3 linked regions of the Drosophila melanogaster genome follow. Changing the gene in region 3 together with the main gene of any one other region gives a genetic interaction. Each region holds a gene or a part of one and is shown on either strand. Other genes may lie near its edges.

Evidence for each region.
Region 1: of enc (region 3) and Ubc2, changing one enhances a phenotype caused by changing the other (phenotypic enhancement), as found in Drosophila melanogaster (one study listed by BioGRID).
Region 2: of enc (region 3) and Rbfox1, changing one enhances a phenotype caused by changing the other (phenotypic enhancement), as found in Drosophila melanogaster (one study listed by BioGRID).

What each region holds. Positions count from the first base shown.
Region 1 is NT_033779.5:10,762,604-10,773,425, reverse strand, and holds Ubc2 (ubiquitin conjugating enzyme 2), read left to right. Parts: upstream 1-5,486; 5' UTR 5,487-5,769; intron 5,770-6,339; exon of another isoform or gene 6,340-6,413; 5' UTR 6,414-6,434; coding exon 6,435-7,035; intron 7,036-7,150; coding exon 7,151-7,235; intron 7,236-7,295; coding exon 7,296-7,308; 3' UTR 7,309-8,416; downstream 8,417-10,822. Other genes in the region: CG31869 (uncharacterized protein), read left to right, coding at 1-391; CG17127 (uncharacterized protein), read right to left, coding at 2,145-2,441; CG6724 (uncharacterized protein), read left to right, coding at 3,693-3,751, 3,812-4,478, 4,536-4,782, 4,850-5,139; CG6495 (uncharacterized protein), read right to left, coding at 8,618-8,983, 9,040-9,569, 10,335-10,710, 10,782-10,822. UniProt on the Drosophila melanogaster protein: Catalyzes the covalent attachment of ubiquitin to other proteins.
Region 2 is NT_037436.4:10,475,034-10,485,855, forward strand, and holds the start of Rbfox1 (RNA-binding Fox protein 1), read left to right. Parts: upstream 1-6,378; 5' UTR 6,379-6,912; intron 6,913-10,822. Other genes in the region: CG46430 (uncharacterized protein), read left to right, coding at 3,504-4,029, 4,322-4,353.
Region 3 is NT_037436.4:3,814,276-3,820,278, reverse strand, and holds the start of enc (encore), read right to left. Parts: upstream 1,601-6,003; 5' UTR 1,362-1,600; coding exon of another isoform or gene 1,359-1,361; intron 1-1,358. Other genes in the region: Acp63F (accessory gland protein 63F), read left to right, coding at 3,934-3,961, 4,023-4,178, 4,233-4,294; Scsalpha1 (Succinyl-coenzyme A synthetase alpha subunit 1), read right to left, coding at 2,280-2,495, 2,558-2,842, 3,199-3,647, 5,924-5,960. UniProt on the Drosophila melanogaster protein: Required for the regulation of germline mitosis, karyosome formation, and establishment of dorsoventral (DS) polarity of the egg and embryo. Involved in proper grk mRNA localization and translation in the oocyte.

The sequences.
Region 1 (10,822 bases), on a different chromosome or scaffold from region 3:
TCACGAGAAGAGCTCCCTGGTGCCACTGCTGATGTACAGTGGCGAGGATATATCCGGGGAGACGCGCATCCAGAACGGCAGCGATCTGCAGCTGGAGAAGATCAGCCAGGGTGAGGAGGTTGAGCTTGGCAGTGGGGAAATCAGGGAGCCCGTCACCCCCAAAACCAATGCCGTATCCACGCTGGAGATCGATGAACTGGGCTCGGGAGCGGGCCAGGTGGGCGGTGTGGATCCCAAGGCCGATGCCAAGAGCCTGAAGCTGGACGAGAGCCAGGAAACGGTGGCCAGGACCAGTGCCAGTGGACTGGACAAATCGTCGGCGAGGGCCGAGAAGAGCTTTGTGGAGCGGGCCCTGCCATTGGGGCGTCTATACCTCCAGCGCATCTACTGAGGATCGCCGCCTGGAGTGGCTCTACTTGACATATTTAACCCTTTTATTGTACATACGGACACCATGGGGCCTAGTGGCCTGCAAAGCAGCGAATATCCAACCATTCAAGTGAGCAGAATGGCGGCAGATTGTTAGGTTTAAGTAGCCAGAAGAAAGGGGAAGAAGATTCCATTATCATTTCCATAGACTGCATAGAACGACCTTTGAATTTATCAACTTTACGAACGTAATCATTAACTAACTAATGTATGATTAGCAGATTAGCAAAGCTGGGCTCCCCAAATGCAATAACGAAATGTTTCCATTATCTGGCAATCCATATTGCTTAGTTATACTTCTAATTTATACGTACTGAGCTAAGTGCACTGAAAACAAAATCAACCATTGTCCCCCACATTTGAAAATCATCGAATAAGTCGCAACATAAACGAAGGAGAAATTATTTAACTTGTTTTATCCCATCATGATTTTATTTAATTTGTAATTTATTTCATAACGAATGCAAATGATTTTGAGAAATGGTTTAATGCAATGGCCAACTGTGTAGTCCTCTTTGAATTGAAAAGCTTTTAAGTTTAGACTGAATATGGCAAAGTTTTAATTTAAAGCAATTTACTCCTACTTTAACCATAATTTATATACAATTTAAACTAATTTTACTTTGACATTGAGTCTTGATAATTATCGTTGGATTTTCCTAGAAAGGAAAATCAAAAGCTCGAGTGAATTTCAAAGCTGACGAGCGGAGAAAAGTGTCAAAATGAAAACGCAGTCATTCTTTAGTTAGTACGTACGAGTATAATAAATAATTAATTACCTATATGAACATAATTTATTTAGGCGATGATCGTGCACACTATCACTCACACACATACCACACAGAATTTTTGAGATAATTAAAATATATTATGAAAATACTTTAACTAGCGTAAATTTAGATTGAAGCTCATTTAACAATGTATGAAGTACGAAATAAAAATGAGGTAATTCTAAACACACAAGATAAAAGTTTTAAGTGGTTCATATCATATTTGGGAATATTTATTACCACAAATGATGCAAAAATCAGGGCCCTATAAAATACCCTACGATCATCGGACCCACCCAGATGTTATGCAAGCAGCCCCTCTGTACCTGCGGGCATGCCACGCCCCCTCCACGTACAACTCATTACACATGCAAGTGCATGTGGCGGCAATTACCAGAAATTAAATAAACAAACCGAAGCCCAGCAAAAAGCAACAAAATACAAAATACAAAAAAAAATAAATAAAAGTCCGAGGAAAACAATCACGACGACAACTGTTGCATCACGACCGCAGCACAAAAGTTGCCGGCGGGGCAACCACTCGGGTTACCAGCGACTCCATCGCCATTCCCATCCCCGGGTTACGTAACAAGGTTGAGGATAGGATACCATGCCATGCGATAGCAATGTGCCGACTTTTATTGTTAATTCGTATGCGCAGCGGGATCAGCGAGGAGAAAGTCGGCGAAGATCGTTAGGAAAAAGCCACAAATCAAACCAATAAATCACTCGTTTCGATTCGAGAGTTCGTTTGCAGAGGAACCAACTGGTTTTCGGGGAGGATCACTTTCGCTTTTAATATTTTTTTCGGATTTTTTTTTCCAATTGTTTTGGGTGGTAAATAAACGCTGCGATTAAATACTTGTAATGTTTTCGTTTTATTAGTGAGAAACTTAACAATGAGGACGAAATGCAATGAGCTAACCAAGGAAGTGGTCCTACGACTTAGTTGCGACCGATCTGGTCGACCTGGGACTGCAGGTTGTTTATCACCTCGGAGGGCACCTGGTCGCCGAGGATCTCGAAGAGATTGATGCGCTGGTTGCCGGGTATCTGCTCGTACGCGCCCAGCTCGATGCCCTCCTGCACGTTCTGGATCTGGGCATCCTTGGGGATGAGAAGCGTCTGCTGCGCCTGCCGGATCGCCTCGTTCGTGTAGGCGGCACCCTCGCGATTCTGGGGCAGGGATTGGGCACCAGCCAGGAGCAGGGCGAGCATCGAACACAGCGCGAACACTTTCATTTTGTGGGTTTTCTCGAGGGGATTCAACTGCAAGAGATGCACGGATTCAGTGGCGCTCGATGCGGACTGGATTTGGTTATGGTCTTACCTTGCGCGCGTCGTTTGTTGTAATGTTTCGGCTGCGCAGGCGCAATGCCCGTTTTATAAGCTGAGCTGCGCCGCTGGAAGCCCCGAAAATCTGGAAAGCTTTAACTCTTTCATTTCGCTTCGTTTCTGGTTTTTTGTAAAGCCAAAATGGTGGCACAAAGTAGTAGTACCGAAAAAAAGTGTTATTACTTCCCAGCTTAATATCCCCATCGACCCATTAAGGTGAATACATTTTTTATTGGAAATTTTTTATTTTCTTGGGCATTTGTCCAATTTTGATGCGAAGGTTAAGCGCCACTTCAGAAATGTCAAGTGGCATTTAACCTTCCAGTGAACACTCGGCCGCAAAGTGGTCTTTCAGGTGCTATCTGGTTCATATTAATAGCCTGAACGTAAAATATTAACAATTACCAGTCTTTGAAGATTGAAGAGTCATTTACAAATTGCCGCCGCGGCTGTGCATTTTTTGGTTTCTTATTTTTCCATTTTGCGTAAGACGATCAAAAGGAAGAGAAGCAGTTAGTGGCTAAATTACAGCAAATCATCTGCGCCTGATTTGCTTGCAAAAAATATTTAATTATCAGTATTGCGAATTGGCTCGTATCTCTGTAAGATTTTTTTGTAATAAAAAAAAGGAGAAACGACAAAGCAGTGGTTATGCAATCAGCGGTTTTTCGAATTTGATGAGTAATATTTTAGAGAAACAAAATCAAAGTGATTAGAAATACCATACACTCTATTAATATCTTTTTATTTGTTAAAGTAATCGGCAAATTACACTTAAGCAAGCTATTATAATTATGCATAGTTTTAACGCACCAAAAAATTTGAATTTAAAAACTCCGCTTAGTAGTAACGGGTGATAACAAGACGATAAGGCATTTCGATAAGAGCACAGCGATAGCAATGCGATAACTCTTATTCCGGCATGCGCTTCGGCGTTTTTTAGTGTTTTTGCATGTATTTGTTGCATTTACCATCGTTCGTTTAAAAACACGCTTCTTTTCAATTTAATTTTACACAACGATCTCCCGAAGGAAGAACCTCTAGTTTAGTGGTCAACACCTTGTACCACCTGCAGGAGTTAAGTCATAACCGTAGCAAACACACGCGGGAACACCCCAATCCCAATCCAGCCAAAAAGAAACGCACGTGGGCCAGGAGATGGATGTGGATAACGGCGAGGGGCAGGTGCAGGTGCACCTGAAGACCAAGCAGGAGCAGTGAGTGTCCATCTAGAATCTCTATCAGTAGAAGATTTTAATCAAGATACCCTATTTCAGCTATGCCGTGCCTGATGTGCCCTATGCCATCGATGGCACCGTCACCACCGTGGAGCTAAACACATTCGTGAACGCACTGTTGCGTCAAAAAGATGGCTCTTCCGACACGGACTTCGACTTCCTGGTGTTCGATGAGTACCTGCGTGGCCGGCTGTGCGATCACCTGCGCGAGAAAGCCATCAGTTTCGAGGACGCCATCGAGATCGAGTATGTGGAGCGGTTCCCGGCGCCAGAGCCACAGGATTGCCTGCTGCACGACGACTGGGTGTCCGCGGTGAAGGCTAGAGGAAAGTGGATCCTCTCCGGGTGCTACGACAACACCCTGAATTTGTGGACCAACAAAGGCAAGCACATTCTCACTATTTCTGGTCACACGGCGCCCATCAAGGCGGTGGACTGGATATCGCTGGACGAGGAGACGGGACGTTTTGTGTCCACATCGCAGGATCAGACCGCCATGCTGTGGCAGTGGAACGTGGGCTCCAACTCGGTGGAATGTGTCTCCGTGTGCAAGGGCCACGAGCGAGGCGTCGACAGTGTCAGCGTGAGTCCGGATGGTCTGAGATTTGCCACGGGCTCTTGGGACACGATGTTGAAGGTGTGGTCAGCAGAGCTGGACGATGCAGTCGAGGGCAGCTCAAAGCGGATGAAAGAGAGCGGTGTGAGAGTGAGTAGTCTTGCCATTTATAATTAGACTTGTAATCAGCTTTACAATTCCTTTCAGACCCCCAAAATTACGCTGCAGGGACATCGTGAGAGCGTATCAGCCGTGCAGTGGATGGATGCTACCACTCTGCTAACTGGCAGCTGGGATCACACACTCAAGGTGTGGGATCTGAGTCTTGAGGGCATCAAGACCGAAATATCCACCAACAAGTCCATATTCGATGCGAGCTACTCAAAGCTGAATCGGCTGATACTGACTGCTTCGGCGGACAAGAATCTGCGGCTCTATGATCCTAGGACAAACCGTAAGATCTAATACTCCAATATCAACAATGGAACTTCCACCTAACCAATATAATTCGGATCTTTCAGAGGGATCAGTGGTAAGGAATACCTATCTGGGACACAATGCCTGGGTGCAGACCGTCATGTGGTCCACCACGGAGGAGTTCCTATTTGTCTCCGGCGCTTATGACAACCAGAACAAGCTGTGGGACTGCAGGAGTCCCAAGGCCCCACTGTACGATCTTCTGGGTCACGGTGAAAAGGTCCTGGACATCGACTGGTCCAATCCCAAGTACATTGTATCTGGTGGTGTCGACAACACGGTGCGCGTATTCAAATCTCGCAAGGCGCTAGCGGAAGAAGCGGAGACGAAGTAATCCCAAAACTTGTAAACTTTTTATAAATACAAAACTAGTTTAAACTTTAAAGTAAATATTGAAAGATTTTACATCTGGGGTGTTACACTTAAATTATCGAAGTGGGTGAAGCAGAGAGGTATTCAAAGTGTATTATACATGGTGTAAATATTCTTGTTTTTTATTTCATTTACGAAATAGTTAGATTTCAATACTTGAATATTATTTTTATGGTATCCGCTTCCGAGTTGCCACAGTGCTAGAAAAGGCAAAAAACGGTTGCCAGAAGCCGAACATCGATAGTTCGCTAAGGATGAGCGGACAGCGCGAGCACCTAGAGACGGACCCGGACCGATAGCTGGCTACAAACATACAAATTATCGAGTTTCTAACAAAGATAAAGTCGGCTCTGCGTCGCCTCGTAATTTGCCAACTGTAATTTAGCGAAATAACAACGATCGCGACCGTGAGCCGCCGAGGAGTTTGGAGCGCCGACACTGCCACCCACCAAGGACGCCAGCGGAACAGCCGTGCATCCACTGCGAAGGCCGTGTGCGCGAGAGTGCGAGCGAGAGGGCAGCAGGCGACACAGGGAGAATCATTTTCGCAAGTGTTGTGATAGAAAAAAGTGAAAGAAACTGCAATAGTGAGGTGTGTATAGTGCTTCACGGGCTGGTCCCAAGATAGACCCCACCTAATCAGCGTCCAAATTCCGCGAAATTGTGCAATCGAGCTGCAGGCGGCGGAGTCAGCACCGTCATCATCATCCTCCGCCGTCGGCGGCGGCATTTTGCAAATGTCTGCTGATTGATTTTTTGCGGCATCCAGCACATGCTCTCGAAACTTTGGGGGCAAATGCTTGTCCAGCTATCACCTAATCCTGTCCAGCATCCACTGGCCTGACAACGAATCCCATGCAAAACCCACTTTTTACTGTCGGGGGTTTGCCAAAATGGCCGCTGCTCAATAGAAATGCGTGCGTTTGTGCGAAAAAAAGCAAACCCCTGTCATCATAAAGGGGCACAAACTGGGTGGAAAACCAGGTCAAGGACCCTGGGGAAGCCCCGTCCAAGATTCGCGTATAATTGCCGACTCCACTGGCCATACTTTTCACATCAACTACATTCGTACGCACAAAGTGCAGGCAAGAAGGGATTTCCCTTTAAAAATAAATGTGAATCCCAAGTAGGCTTTGGCTTCATATTTCACCAGTTTTCTATGGAAATTCCCTGCTGAACATAGTGGATCGTTTACATAAACCATTATCTAACCAAACATCAAAATACTCATTTCAGTTCGAAGAAACGAGACCAAAAATGTCTTCAACCCCAGCAGCGGGCAGTGCCGCCGAGGTGGCCACCTCCAGTGCCACCTCAAATGCGCCCAGTGCACCCAGCACAACGGCCAGCAACGTGAGCAATACCAGCCAGCCGACGACTGCCGGAACTCCGCAGGCACGTGGCGGCAGGGGCAGCAACGCCAACGGTGGTGCCTCCGGGAGCAATGCCGGTGGCGGAGATGAGCCGCGAAAGGAAGCCAAAACAACGCCCAGGATATCCAGGGCGCTGGGCACCTCGGCCAAGCGCATACAGAAGGAGCTGGCTGAGATCACACTGGACCCACCGCCCAACTGCAGTGCCGGGCCCAAGGGCGACAACCTGTACGAGTGGGTATCCACCATACTGGGACCACCCGGATCCGTCTACGAGGGCGGCGTCTTCTTCCTCGACATACACTTCTCGCCGGAGTATCCCTTCAAGCCACCCAAAGTCACGTTCCGCACGCGCATCTATCACTGCAACATCAACAGCCAGGGCGTCATTTGCCTGGACATACTCAAGGACAACTGGTCGCCGGCGCTGACCATATCAAAGGTCTTGCTGTCAATTTGCTCCCTGCTCACAGACTGTAATCCAGGTGAGACTTATTTTTTTTAGACTTTGATATACAGTGTCGTGTTCTCCACTTTGATTTAACTTTTCCTAGGACTGTAGTAAATATGATCTCATGTTTATATCATGTGTCTTTACAGCCGATCCGCTGGTGGGCAGCATTGCCACGCAATATTTGCAGAATCGTGAGGAGCACGATCGAATTGCGCGTCTCTGGACAAAAAGGTGAGTTGTCGCTGGAAAAGCGAGTAAACAAACTTAGTAATCTGTGTGCTTGTCTTTTAGGTACGCAACATGATGCGTAAGTTTTGGCAACGTGCATGTACCACAAACCGAAAACTGCAACAACAGAAACGAAAATTCGCATCTTGCAACGGAGAAAGTCTATTTTATAAATATATATTAAAGTACGATAACTACTAAATTAACAGTAACAACTACCGTAACACGAAAAGCAACCGCCAACAGCCAGTCGATCCAATCCAATCTAAATTCAGTCTATATTTATATCACGTTAATACAGAAGTTGTAAAAAAAAAAAAACATTTGGAGATTTCTTGAGTTGTATTTTTCGGAAACTAGTTTTGTTTTTAATTCGCTTAGCAACCGAAAACATTGTAACGAGTCACATTCGATGAAAAACTGCATCATGAATTGCACATTGACATATTAAACTATAAACTATTCAACTGCATAATAAATATAAATACAATTAGTTTACATTATATGTGTACAGTGTTAAGTGAAAATGGAGCTAAACGAGTAAAGAGAAAAGCCTATTTTAATGCGTAATGCGTAATATTAATGCAACCAATGTCAGGGCAGTAAACTTCGTAAAAGATGATTTTCATTCAAAAAAAAAAAAAAAAACTGGCCACAGCAAGGAAAATTCTCAACAACAAAAGACTAAAAATGAAGTGGTAAACGAAAAACGAAATAAATCTATGTATACAAAACTTAAGACAACCTATTCCAAATTCCAAAACAAAATTAAATAAATTTGTGTTATTTATATATGAAATCGGATTCGGTTTGATTTTTTAATGTGATATTTTTAAGCGTTCGAAATTTGTTTTTTTGGTCAAATACTACCTTTCACTAATAATGATTTTAGACTTGAACATTAAAAAGGCTCCACCACAGCGAAATTTGTTATTTTAAAGAAAGGCAATTACGAGTATAGTGCTGATATATAAAGGAAAAGAAAAGAAAAAAAGAATATAAATAAAAACCAACTTCCTACTATTTTGTAGTTTTAATGACTAAACCAGTCATCGTCGTCACTTCATTGAAAAAAAAACTGAGAACAAGATTTCGTAACAAAGTAATTGTAAGTTTTTTTCGTAACCAAAACAAAACTGAAATCGCAAATGGAAAGGAACTTAAATAAAAAATATTATAAAATTACTTTTCGACTCATTAATCGGTCCACAGGTAAGGCGATCGCTATGTTTAAGTTTTAGTTTTATTTGATATATCTTTGTTTATATAAAATACGTTTTTCATTACACAATTAATCGTAAATATATATATCCTCACGCTTCCCCGCACGTGGAACAACACAACGAATCTTGGCTAGCCCCCGACCTAATCCGCAGGCAACCGGCTTACAGATACATGCCGTTGACCAGGAAGTCCGCCTCCTGTGAGTAGGGCGTCTTGCCGCCCAGTCGTCGTGCCCTCCGCGTCACCGTCCGCATCCTGCACCCGATAAGAATGGCCAGCGCAGCGGTGACCAGCAGGCCCAGAGTCAGCGAGAGGACCGCCCCGCCAGGTCGCTCCGAGTGACCGTCGTGATCGCGGAACTCCATCGCCAGGTTGTCATGGATCATCTTGTACTGCTCGTGGACGGGGGAAGCGGGAACCGGCAGGGCTGGAAGGGATCCCTCCGGTTGCAACTTGTTTTGCTCCAGGGCAAGTTCAATGGGATCCTTGGCCGTCTTCGTCTTGACCTTCTTGTGTTTGTGCTGCTTCTGTGGTTTTAAAATGAATGGTTAATCTTAATCTATATTCATTCATCAGATCTTACCTTTTTTGGTGCCTCCGTGTACGTTTCCTCATCGTAATCATCGTAGTCCCCATCTGCCGCTGGACCCTGATTTTTCCCAGCTACGGGTGCTGCATTTAGGACTGGCAACATGGCTTGCTGCGCAGCTGGCGGAGATTGGATGGCCGGAGCAGCGGCGGCATAGACATGACCAGATTGCTGGGGCATCAGGGACTGCGACTGCTGCACGGGCGACTGTTGCTGCGGAATTAATGGAGCCTGCTGTGGCCACACCACACTCGCTTGCACCTGCTGCTGCTGTTGGCCAGCTGGAGCCTGGAGTTGCGCCGGCTGCTGTGGCATGTAGATTCCTGTGCGTGACATCCCGTATACAGCCTGGTTGGCCTCGTAGCCGGGCAGTTGCAGCGTTGGGGATTGCCCCTGAACCTGAACCTGACCTGCTCCCGCCATCTGACCCGGAACCTGGAGTGGCGACGGCGGTGGACCCTGTCCGTTTGCGGGCTGCTGCAGCTGGAGGCCGCCTTTATGGCTAAATATGTGGCTCTGTGCGTCTGTAAGAAAGCGGAGGCGAAGGCGTCACTAGGAAGCATGAAGTGTGTGTATCCCGGTTAACGCACAGCTAATTGAATTAATTACGCGCAGACAGAGGCACTGCACGCATAGGGCACAAGCATTCGTAAATCAATTTCGAGCGACGGCAGCTCCCATTTCACACAATGAAAACTGATGGGCTATTTGCGATTTTCCCAGCAGAAAAGCCCTCCGGAACAAGGGAGCGAGTGTGTCGTGGCCAAGTGGCCATGGCAGTGGGATCATTGCGTGCACTGTGCCGGCCATTTGTGTGCTAATGTCGCACTGGAGCGCCGTAGCCTCCGGGTATCACTCCCCATTCCCTGTCCTCATAAATATTTACTCAGCTTTTAGTTTTTGTTGGGCTGGAGTGCCTGGCTAGAACTAATTGCTCCTGGACACTCAATCGAGTTTAATTAACAACTTAATGCAACTTAGTGCAGTGCTGCAGCAGCTTTACTGGGTTGTGAGGCATAAAATAAAATAAATTATATAAAAAAAATGAAGAAAAGCCCTGTATGATTGCCAATCATAAGTTTGTTAGCGTTGAAGATTCTATAGATAAGACAGATATCATCAATTGGGAACTACATCGTATACTACAGCTGCAAAAGTTTCATTTCCTAAACTTTGTTGTGTTAATAATCATTAAATCTAATCTTTGACACATCATATGCTTTTAATACATCCTATCAACTAACTTCTAATCTTAACTATATTTTCCTAGACCCCTTATCTATACTAACCCGTGTTGATGATCTCCGTCTTTGGCTGCGATGATTGTTGCTGCTGTTGCTGTTGCAGTTGCTGCTGCGGCAGCTGCTGCTGCCCTTCGGCAATCATCTTGCGGTTGGCCCAGGCAGCGGCATCTTCACGATTGTTCACCATGGGCGGTGGAGGCGGCGGTGGCGGTGGTGGTCCCAAAACAATGACATGTTGTGGTTGCTGCTGCGGCTGTTGCTGTTGCTGCTGCGGTTGCTGCTGCTGCATCTGCTGGGCCACGACCTGCTGTGTCTGTTGCACGTTCTGCACGGGCACATACTGCGACACCATCGGCTTCACGGGCTCCAAATTGCTGCTGGTAGTGGCCGGTTTTGTGGCCGTCGACAGCACGATGTTGCACTGAAAATGGGGTTAGCAATTAACGGTTGAGGGAGTGTGTGTATTTGGCTGGAGGTGAAAGTGCAACTCACTTCCGGTCCCTCGTCGCTGCCATCCTCGCACTGGGGTATTC
Region 2 (10,822 bases), 6.7 Mb from region 3:
GGGACAGATTTGTGGGTGAAATCACATAGTGTGCCACATTCTAGATTACGGGCTAACTGCTTATAATGCACTGCCAGCGAGAGTCTATGCTAATTACGTGTGGAAAAAAAAATGAAAAACAAAAGTGGAGACGCCGCATAATTGAAAAATTAAATATGCTAATGGAAAATTCATTTTGTTTACTCCTACTTTAACTCTCTTTCTGTTGACAATCGTACAATCGAAATACGCCAATGCAGTTGTATTCATTAATTATTAGCCATAAACTTTTTGTCAAATGAAAACCAATTGCTGAATGTCATTTATCTCAGGGAAAACTTTTAAACAGAAATTATTGTATTTATCGCCCGCACACGCACACAGATTGTCGCTATCTCTGCCTGGCAGTTTATTGTTACCATAATTTAAAGCGATTTAATCTGCTCGACTTCTCCTGGCTCCGATATCTCGTTCACAATGGAAACCAATTAAGTTCTGTCACATCATTTTAATGAAATTAAAATAAAATCAGTACGAATAAATAGGCTCAGGATGGATGGGTGGAAACCGCAGGCTTTGCTTTTTGTCTCAAGGCTGATTTTTTCTGTTTTTTTTTTTGCAACGACGACAGTTTTAAAATTCAGGGCATGTCCGCCGGCGTCTGACAGGCCCACTCAACCACACTGAGCCACCCACAACCTCCCACAACCACCCACAGCCACCCACTGACTGACTGACTGACTGACTACATGAACAAGGTGCTGCCTGTTTTTGCTTGCGGCTTCAGCTGCTGCATGAATCCTTAAGTGACTATGAACCCAAAATAAAAAAAAGTAAGAAAAATGCTGAAAAAGAGATAAATAAAATGAACAACAATATAAAGCGGCTAACAGATATAGATGCCGGCTGAAACTAGACAAAACGCTTAGTCTACTCAATTCTCTGGAAAATTGCAGAGCAGGGGCGTGCCACCGCCCATATCTTGTTTGCTTTCACCACTGTGTGAAGGTCGTGGGCGTGGTGATGTCGAGCTGCTAGAAAAAATTGCCAACTAAGTGTTGAGCATAATAATGAGAATGGCAAATGGAAAACAGACGCATCAACAGACGCGGCTAGTAAAATACAACATAAATCAAAAAATACACTTTGAGATCTTTTTTTTCACAATGTCCTTGGTCCTTGTAACATTTTTTGAGCGGATTCTGAATTAACCTTTTCATAAAATAGATTGCATTAAAGTGTGTTAATATATATATATCTTCTTAATACCTTTTTAACCCATTACTTATACTTATGTATATCCTGTACTGTGTTAAAGAAATCGCATGTATGTGTCTGCTTCCTCAGTTTATCCTCGTCCAACTTTTACTTTTCGCCAGCCGTCTGTTTGTTTTAAATAAATTATGCCTGACTACGAGCTTTATTTAACTTCATCATGTTAACGAGTCGGCTTACTATGGAAAGCCACTCTTCTTTATGCGACACACATTTGAATTGCATATTCTAGTGCGTTAACCGAAATGCAAATACATTTCCTGTACTTCGTCCCCAGGCAATTAGTCGGTCACTTTGGTGCAATTGGCTAAATTACAAGCGGCTCAATTTAATTTTTGCCGGCTTGATACTCTCTCTTATTTGTGTGTGTGCAAAACTCTCGGCCACAGGAAGTCATTGTCATTTTGGTTTTTTTTTGCGTCTGCATGGCAGTCAAGCGAATTAGCATAAATTATTGCCCTTGCCGTTGGGGAATTTTCCTCGCTTTGAGGCCCAAAAGTAAATTTAACATTGTCAAAGGACTTTAAAATATATGTACGGAAGTCTATTTAAATTAACAGAAATTTATTGAAATGAATGGTCGTTTTCGTAAGTTTTTAAAGTTTTAAATTACACAGAAGTTATTTCAATGTATTTTAAGTAATTTAATACTATTATTATTTTAGATTTCAGCTTTAGTAGTTGAAATTAATGTGACACGGCAATGCCAAAGTCGTAAATTCCTGTCGTTAACTTAAGCTTCGCGATTATCTCTGATCTGCGCTAATTTCGCAGCAATAATCGCGGCAATTAAATTTACGACCATTTTCGCAGACGGACAAAACGCTCATGAAATCTCGTAAATTGTTTTACCCCATTTCTAATCCAAAAGCACAGCCCATCACGAAGCCATAAAATAGGGCGTAGCACACTTTTTCATAAGCTTAAATCAAAATATATGCATAAACTAAAGGAGGTATAAGAAAGTCAGCCATCTGCACAGCTGCCATTAAATATTACGCATACGCCATGTTAACACTTTATAAACGCATTAGCGTCCTTCCAACATCTTGAATATGGCCAAATATTGTGTATTTTAGTGTGTGTCCCATTTCCCACATTAAAATACAATTTTCAAGCTGTGGGACAGCAAAATTGGAAACAAAAATATGAACGAAAAAGGTAGAAAACAAATTCAGACTGGCAAAATATTTATGAGCCAAGAAGGATAAGAACTGCCCTGACCATTGTTAGCCATAAATCATGCGATTATTGGGCGAAAACACGTGGCCAGATAAACATAATATACAGAGTGGTTCGCAACTATAAGGTTGGATAAAAATATTTTTAAAGACAGTTCATTGAAAGGATTTATCATATTGAATTAATTTAGTTCCATTGAAGTATGTGAAATATAATGAAGTATAATCTGCCATTCAATAATTTATTATTATAATAACACATTTTCTGAGAACTTTAGTTTCGAAACGGACTGTATTTAAGTGGCACAGAGACCTTATAAATGGCTGTGCCACGCCCATACGGCGCAGGACATTAAACTCAATGAGTTGAAATTATTTGCAGCTCTGAAGGTCAACTTAATGCGGACTGAATAAATGGCTGGGGGGAGTTTGGGGGGGTAAAAACTGCCTGAAGTTGGGGATCCATGGTTCAATGGGCTTGTGGGTGTGGCTGCTCGTTCGCCATTAAAGACAACTTCCGCTAACAATAAATTTTGCTTACCCTGAAATGGTTTGGAGGATGCGAAAAGCTTAAGCGCTATTTTTTATACCGAAAAATATATATATTTTAGCAGTTCGTTTTCTTTTTTAAACCACCCAGCGAGTTGGTGTCGATTAAACTGTTGTATATTTTAGTGCTCTTGTTAAGAGAGCTCAGTGGTTTTTGGGTTTTATTTTATTTAAGTCTTATTTTTAGGTGCGGCTAAGTGTGCACGGCTGCGTTAATTTGTATGGATTATTTATGGTGGCCGCTGGCAGCAAATGAGGCCACAAAGGAAGTGAAGCTGGCAAAACTCTAGTACGCGGGAAAACCCGGATGAGCTGCAAGTTTTCCGAAAGTTTGCAACCTCACAAGTGCCACATAAAATTTATGGCTCTATTTTGAAAGTTGGCAGAGCATCGACAATGTTTCAGCTCGTACACACACACTTAATATGCCTAACTGTACAAAATCAATTAACAAGAAATGGAGCCACAAGTTCGACTAGTTCGTATTGATATCAGTTTGATTTTCATCATTGACAGACGATGTTGCTAGTTCTTGTCGTGTTGCAATTTATAAGTTTTACTTATGGCAGTGAGAAGAATAACCAAACCTATTCAGAATGCGAGGCTATGACTGCAAAAGACGAGCCAAATTTTGCCATTGTTTTTCAATGTCTTGTTGCAAACTATAATTTAAATGCAACTCTATTGGATATTATGATAAAGATGGATCAATTTCAACAAATTTTAAATCAAATTTCTAACGAACAGGAATATAAACAATCACCTTTTAAAAAAATTGATGACATTTTAGAAATACCTAGTGATTTATCCGGTAAAGATTGCCAATACAGACGACAAATAATGCAAGCCATACGCAGAAAACTGGAATGGTATAATGTTATGGACGATACGGAGTCTACACTTTTCGATTACGATGATGCCATAAAGCCAGAGATTTCTGAATCAGCACCGGAAAATGCGGTTTCAAAAATCGAACTGAGAACCGATTATAAAATGGTTTTAAAAGAGATCCGTTGCCTGCTGGCAAAATCCATACGAAATACAGGTAATAAATTAAGCTTTTAACCTCTTGTTGGCCCAATTGATTGCGACAATTAAGAAGGCACAAAAGGGTGACAGGTGCGAAAATTGTTCAGAAGGTCGGCGTTACTGACTGAATTTAAATTGTAAATAAATATGTGAGCATCTCTCGCCACAATAGCACGCAATCAACAAGCCTCACACGAAACTGTACAGCAAAGGTGATTGGTACACAGCGAAAAAAAAAACAAGTTTTTTATACTAACTATAAATTGCATTAATTTTTAAGAGCTAAAAAAGATGTTTATTTTTTACAGAACCGACCGTTGATGCAATAGAAAGCAATTAATTTGAAAACTGGAATAGGTTTCCCCTTAAAATGTGACTATTTTCGTATGTATTTTGAAGTTACAACTTATAAATAAATTTATGCTAAAATATTTTCTCCGTTTATTACCTAAATATTGTACATAAATATAGCATACAGCTAGTTTAAAAATAGAATTTATTTATGTAATTTAAAACAGTGCTTGAAGAACCTGCTGTGCTGGCATAAAAAAGTATGGTCACACGTGTGCGAAGCCCCCCCCCCCCTTGGCTTTTCGCCCAGCAGTTTGGCCTCGTTTTTAAATTGAAATCTCTGCAGCCAACACTGGACATTGCCTTCATTTCCCCGCGGACAGAGAAAGGGAGAGTTGTCCCTGCATTTCTCCCGTCCTTGCGGTGCTTTAAATAATTGCTTAGAAGCCGACGAGCAGACTCAGTGGTAACAATAATAACCGCCCAAGCACTCCGACTATGATAATAATAGCAAATAGAACCTGCCGCAGATGGAAATGCCACTCGGACAGACGCCGCTCCCCTTTCTCTTACTTTTCCACATAAGCCTTTGGCTTATGACCACACCCCCCCACTGCAAATGCATTTCACTTACTCTACACACACACACACACTCGTATAGTAGAGAAAGTAAGGGCCAGTGAGAGTTTGTGTGTTTATGCTCACTTTTAATGTGCCATATAAAATAATTTAATGACCGGCCAGAGACGAGGGTGTCTCCTGGTAATGAGAAAAGCGATTGGACAAAAACGGGTGGCTGTAAATGATAATAGTGGCATATTATGATGCAGATAGTCATGACAAATGGCTACGTCGAACTTTAATTGGTAAGCGGACTTGGACTGGATCGCCATATAGAAAAGCAATTATATCTGTAATTATAAACTTATCTATTTGCCATTAAGAATGGATTACAATGTTTGAATGCCATTTGTAAAGCCATAATATCTACAAAGTATAAGTAAACAAATTTACAAAAATGACTACAAAAAAAAAGTCTTAAAAAGTACTCAATACAATTTTCATGTAAATCAACCCTTTTCCATTTTCTCTTTCTCTCCTGCTGAATTTTAAATTGTTATTTTTAAATATTTTCGTTGGGCTTTTTCTTCGAGCTTAATCTGCGGAAAATTTTCCATCGGTTGCCTTAAGTCAACCCTAATTAGGTTATTCTTGGCAATCCCTTGCTCAATCCCCTTTTAAAGCGGCCTTAAAAAACGGAATTAATTTTCCGAAATTTATATTTTTCTTTTGATTTCTTTAGATTTTTGGTTTTGCTTTCGTTCTTCGTTCCCGATTTTCGTCCTTCCACTTTACTGTCCTGGTCATTTTCTACAAAATAGTTGCGCTTTATTTCCAGGCAACTTCGTCGCTCAAGTGACAGCTGTCCTCACCTCCACTTCCGCTAGAATGTCAATAAAAATTCAATTACGTTTTCCGCCAAAGAAAAGTTGCTGCTGAAAATACGTTTTCCTTATAGCCTTCTGTTTCCATTTAAAATTGCCTCTCTTTGTCGAACGGAATTTGTTTGCCAGCCTGATCGATTTGTGATGCTGGGCCGTGGAAATGTGGAAATCAGAGACTTGGGCACTTATACTTAATGGCCTAATTATGTAACCAAACGCCCACACACAAATAGGCTGAGTAAATAATCATAATAATCAGCATTTTGGCGGGGGAAAGAAGAAACCATAAACTTCTCGGGGTTCAAATAAAAATAAATTGTGCGACTAGGCTTGGGCAATTTGGCGGAAATGGTTTTCTGCCTTGAACACATATGTTTATAAGATTTATTCTGTTTTTCTGCTTATTTTTTGTGGTTAAATAGTTGGCCAAGTTTATGCTGATGATGCCGTAGGTCGTTGTGCATTAAACCAAATTTAATGTTACCTTTTATCAGGTGGCATTAAAGAGCTCTTTCACCAAAAATATACATTTTTCTCATCCCTCAAGTAAGCATCAAACTGTTATACTGACTGTAGTGTTATACGGCAAAGGCTGCTGCATACTTACAGGCTCTTTTGCGCAAAATTTCAGTCTCCCATTGCAAGTGCTCACGTGAGGACGGAAAACATTTTGCTCATCGCTTTCGCCTCGCGCATTGGCAAGTCGCGTAAAATTCTCGTGTTAACAGGAAAAACGTCACAAATTTTTCAAAACCACCCCAAGTCCCATTACCCGCAGTGGGAAAAACCTCAAATTCCTTGGGCTATCCGTATCAATCAACGACTAAAGGCTTAGTGTCCCTTTGTGATTGTGTGTGCTTTTTGTGTGTGCACTGTGTATTTCGTTGTGCTGCCGGCTTCAATTAGCAGCTTTTCCTCATTCTGCCCGCTGCTCTTGTGTGCGTTAGATTAATGAGGCAAAAGTGTTTTGTCGTGTCGTGCGTTAAATATTTAATACAATATCAAATAAATGTTGCATAAGCCGCCTGTCATTTAGCATCTAGTGCCAAAAGCAAAAAAAAAAAGAAAACACAAAAACGTGTGTTTGTTTCGTGTGTTTACCACAAGTAATTCGGACAGCAAACGGATTCTTTTTTCACGATTCACAAGAGCACGTCGATCAAGTAAGCCTTAGCTATTAAATATCACAGAAATAAAAATGTATCCCATTTAGCACATTAAGTTACCCATTTGAACAGCTTTTATTGGACTAGTCTTCCGCTGAGATATCTTGAGAATTTGCCCATTTCCCAAACGCATTTAAAACATTTTTATTGCCCATTTTTGCTTTATGTCCCGCATTAAAACATCTCCCGCTACGTAAAGATAATTTTGATTTGATATTCGTGTAATTTTTCCATTTGTTATTTGCCCGACTTCCATTGTTGATGGTCTGGCAGGGAATTTCGATTTGCGTTTACCCTTCATTTATTTTCAGCTGGAGATGCAAATAATGGTAGAAATGCCCGCAAAAATACTTTTACAGCAACAGGACTCCGGGGCCGATTTTCATTTCAAATTGCTCACATTAAGGGGCCACCCCCCCCCCCACCGGGCATCACAATCTCCCCCCTTTTATGGCACTCACATACCCTGTATCTGTGCATATATCCCCTTATTACCCAGCGCAGAGTACGAAATTAATTGTAACCAAACGTTTTGCTGCTTGCCGCAAACTTACTTTTATACTAGTTCATTTGCCACGCCCCTATCCCCCACGGAATGGACGCACAAAGACAACTAAAAGGGTATACACGCACAGCAACACTGAGAGAAATGGGTTCTGCATCGATAGTTATAGTTTTTAAGCCAAAATGTATGCTTATATTTTCTATTGCTTAATTTAAGACTTCTTTTTAGTGACTTTGAGCCTTTACTTTAAATAACTTTAAACTTTACTTTAAATAACAAAATCGAAGTTGTGACAACAGTTTTTCCTGCGTGAGCTTATACAAACACGTGCATGTACATGTGGAGCAAGAGGTAGCTAGCATCCCAACTAAGTAAATAATGCGTAAAACAAGTCAAGCGTTTTACAAACTCACCCATTTCGCCATCCCGTTTCCCCGTTAAACAAAGGGGGTTTCCACTGCAAAACGGGGAGTTTCCCCCATTTAGAAACAGCAGAAACAGTCAATTGTAAAATTGCTGCAGCCAACAAAGCGTGGCAAGGAAGCTAAGCGAGTGGCTCAGACTGTTTCCATAGGTAGTTGTTGCCCGATGTTGATGACGGCTAGGATTGCCGGATTCCCGGCACAAGAATCTCCACCGTATGTAATTCATTATTATGCTGACTGAGGCTGGAAGGCACTGACGGTAGAAGCCAGAAGCAGGAAAAAATATTTGCGCACATGTGGCTAGAGTTTCCATCACTTCAGCGTGCTGCTGTTATTCTTGTTAAGGCTAAAATTGTCTGTCACTTTGAGACTTCCGTCATCTGCAGGATAAAAGCTGTGGGCGAAAATATGCGAGCGAAAAATGAGACTCCACATTTTGGTTGTATGCTAAATACTTCACGGTCCACGGTCCTGTTTATGCAACAAGGATGTCTTTGAAAATATCAACGTTGGTTCGCAAAAAAGGATACCTATTGTATATATCGGGCTTAGAAAAATAGGGGATTTTAATACTAAAAAGTTTTAAAAAACTTAAAACTTTCGTGACATGTGAAGATGGCTCTCATTTATCAACGCTACAAAAGTAGCTCAAAATGGCCCTTTTGAAAATATAAGGACATGAAAACGATCAAATATACCACCTGTGTCGCAGTCAAAATGTAACAACAATTGAGAACAATAAACAAATGGCACACAAAATCAAAGTTTGGTTCGCTTATCTTTGTTTGACTTCTCTTCACTTTGACCCACCAAAAAGTTTTTATTTTTTTATAATGTCCTCGAAAAATGAGCGCCATAAATCATGGGGCGTAAATATGCCACCCCCATTTATCTCGTCTAACAAAGGGAAAACTTGCACCGTAAATTTGTATAAGCAGCAATTACTTAAAAAACTCCGAACCTTGACTTGTTTAGCCAACCAATGAAAAACTCTATTGTCAACTACAATATTTTTCCACAGCTCCATTTGCAGTTATTTACATGAGCAGATCCACATTTTTGGGTGGCAGATGGGTGCTGTGCCTGATATTTTTTTTTATGCTTACTTGCGACATCGCATTTTTGCACAAGACTTCTAAACTATATTTCGGACAATATGCAACATGATATTTTTCATGCTTATTCAACAGAAAAAAAATGAGAAGAGATTGCACATACGTTCCTCACAGAATTTCAATAAAATAGAGTAGGAATTTATGTGCACGATATGTTTCCGAGATTCTATGAGCATGTAATTTGTGGGTATTTCTGTCACAGTTTATATGTACAAAAATGTGCATTGCAGTATGCAGAGATCTAATGCTTTCCTTTTTTTTATTACTCAACTCATTTTGAAACTAGCCTTTTTAAATGAAATTGCCAAGCAGTATATACTTATATTATTGAATATTGATTTATTTAATTATTATTTGAAATGAAAAGTATTTTATTCCTTCCATTTTGTAACCCCTTTTCATATCCTTGCAAATAATTTGTCTTATTATGCTCCCCACTTTCGGGCATCATCCATCTTAATCGCTTTGACTTCTTTGGGTGGTTTTTCCTCTCATTTTTCTTCTTTTCCCTTTTCTAATAAGCCTAATGGCAACGCTGTAACCATTATTTCAAAGAAAAGCGTATAAATATAATTTATTCCACATAAACTTGATTAAATGCTTCTCTTTTCCACTTTCCCCCTTGCATTAGCATACGAAAAGTGGAAATGGAAAAATCCTACTTAAGTTCTTTCCTTCTGAAAAACAGTAAACTTTCCGCACACGCAGACCACATGGAAAAAAAAAAGCCAAAAACAGAAAAGAAATAAACTCCTTTTCTGATGATGATGGCCTGGTTGAAATCCGCTTAGCGAAGGATACTTACATCCTGGCAGCTGCCACCTGCTGCTAGTCCTTCCATTTTGAACCATCTATCTATCAGGCAGTTCGTCGAAAGCCCCATTCAATCAGATATATCATCAATCATGCCCAGCATATTTCCAGCGATGCCGAAACGAATGACAACAAATATTTTTTAACCAGCACATCGTAAATGTCGCATTCAAATTGCACAGAGAAAATCGGCAAATCGATGTGAAAAATCCGCAAAATTTCAATCATTGGGTTGAATACGATTTCCACGAGAGATGAATTGCTTTTCATTTTGCTCGAAATTGGGGTTAACAAACTCATTAGATCTCTTGGCATCATTATGCAAGCAGAGATACAGGCTCACTAGGGCAGATAGTAGATACAAAAAAAAGTAGTTAGTTAGTTAACTAAAACCAGAAAATAGTAATTTATTGTATTATGAAAAACAAAAGAAAGAAAACCTTATAAGATGAAGCTATCGATTTGTAATATAATTTTAAAATGTTAGGATTTTTAAACATTCTGTTTAATTGGTATGATACACTATAGATCGATTGCTATATTTGTTAAATTATCGAATTTTTAATTTTACCAACCATTGAATAACATATTTTTTGGATTTATTTTGTCGAGTGCATAGATACGCACCCATTAAGTATGCGCCGTGTGGTTCCACTTCCGCGTATCAATGCCGCCACAATGACGCTGTAGCTGCTGCTGCTTATGCTGCTGCTCCATTTAGCGTGAAAACATTTAAGCCAACAAAAGCAGATCTCAAACGCACCCACACAAGCGCCTCAAAGTGGCATACACCATGTATAAGATATTTTTACTGAAAAAAAAGAACTGCGGTGATGGTGAAGGTCAGGCCGTTGTTACGTTTTTTGGCCTAAACCCCATGGCCTTTTGCTCGTTGTTCTTGTTGCTTCGCATGTAGTTAAATTGTTTTTGCCACTGCCATTGCCCATTGCATCCGCCCTTTCATCTTACATCTCTTTGGCTCTCTTCGATCATGCGCACTTTGACCTTGCTCGTAGCACAGTTTTTGGTGATGCTGTCTTGGACCTTAG
Region 3 (6,003 bases):
ATTGTATTATAAAGTACAGTGGACACTTGCATTGAAAGACCAATGAGTCCAGATATTCAAAACCCAAACTTTCCTAAACTCACACTTTTTGATAGAAGCTACAATCACTAATAAGATAAAATCTTCACTTTCACTCAAGAAAATTTGTGTGGATTTAACAAAAATAAGAACTATTTTTTGCGTGTTTCGGTGTTTGGGAGAGCGAATAAACAAAAAACTGACGACATTATTGCGACGCCAGCGATGTAAGAGAATTGGAGACAAATGTGAGAAAGGCCCAGGGAAGTGGAGGGAGGGGGGATATAGCCGGGCTGGTCGGATAATTCGCAAAATAGATTTTCAATAAAACCCACTCGAAAACGCCGACAATGGCGGACGCAGGCCAAAGAGCCATTTCGAATCTATTTTAAACACAAACAAAAGCATTCTCTATAAATCGAGCAAACGCGAAGAGGAAGAAAACTTACAAAAATGTTTGCAAGAATGCGATATGTCACCAGAAGTTGAGGGTTCCTAGCGAACTGGAACGCACATTTTTCGGCGTTTTGTAATCGATCTGCAGCAGCAGCAACAGTTTTCAAAACTATTTATCCTAAAGCTTATACACAAAAATCTACATAATATATAGATAGGACGCATCCTTAAGTGGTTTTTCATATCCGAAGTAATAATGACGTGCTGTTTGTAAAATATATTTTACATTTACATTACTTTTAACTCAACCTGATATTTCGGATCAACATTTTAAAAACTTAAAACTAAAGAATAATAAAGAATAATACTTCTAGCTATATTTCTCGTTTCATAATAATATTTTTTTAAAGTAGGATATTGAATATATATTATATTAAAAGTACGGAAGCATTGGCATAATATTAAATCGAAGAATTATGTGAGCAATTAAGCTACCAATCTGCTACCAACAATCCCATAATTTATTATTTTCAATGCAGCACTATGTATTGCGAGCGTCAAGGCCATGAACTCCTGGTATTAGCCATGCTACAACTTTTTTTCAATAAAGTTCCTCGGCGAACGAAAATTCCAACTAACAACTCCAATTAGACATACCCGGAATCAGATAACGGGGCCTTCCCGGCAGCCCTACTAAAAGGCATGCACTACTCCGTCACATACATACATACATGCGAGGTGATAAATTTGTATGTGCACATGTGTGTGTGTGCGTATGTAGTGCACTTTAAAATGCAACCGCAACCGGCGGCTGCAAAAACCGAAAATGTTGCAATAGTAATAATAAGCGCACTAATATTATTATGTTCACATCATTTCCAACACGCTTTGCGAGAAAAGGGACAGTGCTAACGAAATTTAGGGACATTTTCTTAGAAACTCACCATTTTCAGTTCTGCTGCCCATGGCGAGTCGTTGTTGTTGCTTTTCCTTTGGTTGCTCTCCCTTTTGATTATCTGCGATTTTCACACTTTTCCGGGGTGGCGAACAATATGCGAATCGGCACTATAGCTTCTGACGTTTTTCGCGGTGTTTTCCAAGTTTGTTTAGGCCTTTGTGGCACGCATTTTCAATCGCGGCCCTAAAACATATATATGTTTATTAGAGCTGGCACAAAAAGCGATGGCAGTTCGATATTAATGTTGCCAGATATTTCACGAGTTAATCGAAACTTCCGCTCTATCGATGTGTGCTCTTGATGTTTGCAAGTCGATCCCATTAAATATCGAAAGTAGAAAACTACATTTTTTTAAATTTCCTTAAATCTTTTTTTAATATGGTAAGCATTGCTTTTCATAAATTATTGTTTTGTTAATTCTTCTCCAAAGAATTTTAGTTTAGATTAAATAAATTGACCTGAAAATTCATATTTTCAAAGGATATGGCTTGTATAGCTAAAACCACGAAAATTCACCACATCTATCCTGTTTTTATGCATATTTATTACACATTCAGATACAATTCGCATTGATAATTCGAGCAGGCATTTAAAATTAAGGCAAAAATCTGTTCGCAACACAAACAATGAGCCGAGTGCAATAACAATTAGAAATCTTGGTTTTGGTGCGAGTTATTTTAGTTCAACTTGGTGGTACGGCAGTAGTTAACTTAATTCTTGGAATACATGTCACAATTCAACGCCTCTCGTTTCTCTCTAGTAATTTTTCACAATAATTTATTTGGGTTCGCTCGAATGCAATTTCGATTTTCGACACTTTTAGCTTAACGTTAGGTTCATCATCATGAGTTTGCGTATACGCTTTGATCGGCGTACGGATTCCGGTTTGGTTATGGCCTTTAATTATTTACACTAACTCCAGACGCTTCATCTCCTTGAAGAGCTCGTGGCCCATTTTGGCAGGACTCCTGGTCACAATGACGCCGGCCTTCTCCAGGGCGGCGATCTTGTCGTTGGCACCTCCCTTTCCTCCGGAAATGATGGCTCCAGCGTGACCCATGCGACGGCCGGGTGGCGCCGACACTCCGGCAATGAACGAGACGACAGGCTTGGCCTTGATGCCCTGCAATAGGATACAAAAACATTTAGCAATGAAATACATTGATCCGTGATGGCTTCTCATACCGAATTGTACTCGGTCAGGTAGTCGGCAGCCTTCTCCTCGGCAACGCCTCCGATCTCGCCGATCAGGATGATGCCCTTGGTCTCGGGATCCTTGAGGAAGACCTCCAGGCAGTCGATGAAGTCGGTTCCGTTGAACGGATCGCCTCCAATGCCCACGCACAGGGTCTGGCCCAGACCCACCTCCGTGGTCTGGTGCACGGCCTCGTAGGTCAAGGTTCCCGAGCGCGAGACCACGCCGATCTTGCCGCGCTTGTGAATGTGACCCGGCATGATGCCGATCTTGCACTGCAATCAGAAAAAACATAGTTTAAGATTATACAATTGACTTAACTGAAAGTGGAGTGAAGTGGGTAATCACTAAGTTTTGTGACGCATAGAAAGATAAGCGTTATAAATGGTAATAAAAAACGTATCGTCCGCAAATTCCACCAACTTCAGGTGCAAAGTTCAATGCCCAAATTTAAGGGTGTGTCAATGGAGGCCTGTTTATACATTAACAATAAGCAAATTGAAAACGGAATAGTAAACAGATATATGTAGTTCAAAGCGAGCGTCATACCAAGAGATAAGAAAACCACCAGATGAACGTGGACTTTGCCCTCTGGCCAAGCTTATCTCTCAAGCGCTGGAGATGTACGAACCTGTTCGGGGGCGATGATTCCCGGGCAGTTGGGACCCACCAATCGCGACTTGCTCTGGCTGATGAGGGCGTGCTTCACCTTCACCATGTCGTGCTGCGGCACACCCTCCGTAATGCAAACGATCAGGGGGATCTCCGCTTCCAGAGCCTCGATGATGGCGGCCGCAGCGCCCGGTGGTGGCACATAGATGACGGTGGCATGTGGATCGGTGGCCTTCTTGGCCTCCGCCACCGAAGCGAAGACGGGCAGTCCCAGATGCTGGGTGCCTCCCTTCTTGGGGGAAATGCCGCCGACCAACTTGGTGCCGTACTCCAGAGCCTGTTGGCTGTGGAACGTGCCCTGTTTGCCGGTGAATCCCTGGCAGATCACCCGCGAATCGCCGTTCAGCTTCAAGTTGCCGCGCGTCTTGTTGTACTGCGAATTGCAGCGCACTCCGGCCACGAAGCCATCTGAAAAATGTAAGAATGAATCATTTTAGGACTAAAGTTGGAAATTTAGTATTTTGGATATTAATAAACCAGCCTGCAAGTGTAAACTTACATAGTTACATGATAATTTCATTTGCGTAACGTTCGAGAAAGGTTTATTATTTATTAAATTCCTATATTTCTTGCCCATTTTCCAAGTACACATAATTGATTTTCTAGATCGAATGGAATATGTTCCAGAACTCATGCCATATATAGATCTATTTAAGTTGAGTATTTTCTTTAAGAATATCAGTCGCTTTGCAAGATGAAAGCTATCATCGTTTTTATTCTGTGTGAGTTTTTTTGGAGCTTATGTTGCTAACCGAAATTGTTTTACTTTTACATCCCCTTTAGTCATTTCAAGTGTGCATGCTATGAGCAAATGCAACCAAGCAATTTATCTAAATCTTGATCCTCACTGCGGAATACTTCCCGATTGTAACTTAGATGGTCCAAATCCAAGTTACCTCAAAAGGGTGTCGTGTGAACGCAAAGAAAACGGAAAACCAGGTGGGTAATTGTTGACACCTTTTGTGTTTCAGAAAACTTAATCGATTCGTTTAGGATTCATCGAACTAATTCCCGGAAAATGTCTCCATGGTAAACCGCGTTGCTCGTTAAAATAGTAATATTGTTCCAATATTTCCATGCATATATGTTTCAATTAAAGGCATTATAAATACCTATATTCTATAATTCTTCTGAGAAGCATTTTAAAGCATTAAATTATATGTAAACTACTCAATCTGCGTGCGATTATGAAAGCTTTGAGCTTCTTATTATTTCTGAGTGAGTTTCTACGCAAGAAACTGCGAGTAAATACATACGTTCTGAACTATTCAACCACTGCAGTTATGAATATATTCGAGACTGCGAATGGAAAGAGTGTCTGTGAAGGATTTATAAAAGCTGGAAGTCCATTCTGCGCGTTTGCCGCTACCTGTAACTTCCAAGGCTTGAGTCTTTTGCACGTTGGACAAGAGCAGTGCAAACTGACTGAACTGGGAAAGCCTCGTAGGTTCAATTCAATTATCGTATTCAGTTCGCCTAACCTTATTTACATGTCCAGTATTTCTGAAAATCAAGGCCGGAAGGTGTCCCCGGGGTAAACCCAGATGCAGGAAAACTAGATAAGGAAAATAACTTTTTTATATTATAAGGCATTTTATATCCTTGATCACTTTCAATAAAGATTTAACTCTTCATTTTTACCATTTTAAAAATCTATGTAATCTAAAGTTTAGAAACACCGCCTTTTGTGGCCTTGACATTTGTTAAGAAATTCCACACCTGTTGCTTTAATCGCCTTAAATACGACATGTTTCGGTAATTAGCAGCTAATCTTTGTAAAACCCTGCAACACTTGCGAAACATTCAATCTCAATCTCACCATGAAGATTTTCGGATATATCCTTATACTCAGTGAGTTACCTAAGATTTAATGGGAATATACCTATAAACATGGTATGGTTTCATCCCTGTGACAGTTGTAACAATGATAGAAGTCAATGGTGTCCTAACTGTTGAAGAATGCCAAAAGTTCTTGAACCCCCCAATTCAGCTACGGTGAAAGCAGATCCATGGTGCGGAATAACAGCGGATTGCCACTATACCTTCCTTACTGCCAGCTTCCTGAAGACCGAAGTCTGCTTTCGTAAAGTAAATGGTTTGCCAGGTAGGTCTGACCAGTTTGACTTTTAGAACGATACTAAGTTTATCCATGCTTTCAGAACTCAAAAAAGTAATTCATGCCAAATGCCCTAAGGGCAAATATTCATAAATATAGATCGGAGCTTGGAAAAAATATCCCAAACTAAATTAGAATTAAATAACTTTTTGACGAAGGCAAATGCTTGCAGCAATTATTTGTTTGAACTATTAAATTAAAAGTATACACGTATATCCACTACGAGAAAAGTTAAAAAGTGATGGTCACCAAAGCGGTGTTCCACTGTACTTGTTGCCGAAAAAAAACGGTTGTTTGTACGCTGGGTCACATGCAAGCGAACCTTGAACACAACCCCCGCACTCCCCCTCTTTAATCATTTCAAAGCCACGTATCTGCGGATTCGCAAATTGAGCCGCTTATTAATCCGAATGGAGGCCGACTAATCAGCAGATGCGTCGGAACGACAGGTGCTCCCTAATTGCTTGGATATTTGTTCTTTTGGTGCCGTAAATCCATTGAAGTTATATAATTTATTATGCTGTTAGGCTATCGGGCGTGTTAGGCAACCGATGTGGAGAATACGCACCTCGCACTTTCAGCAGCGCCCTCATTGAAGCAGCCATATTATCTGTGTGTGGTGGTTGTGCGATAAAAACAGCTTTACTC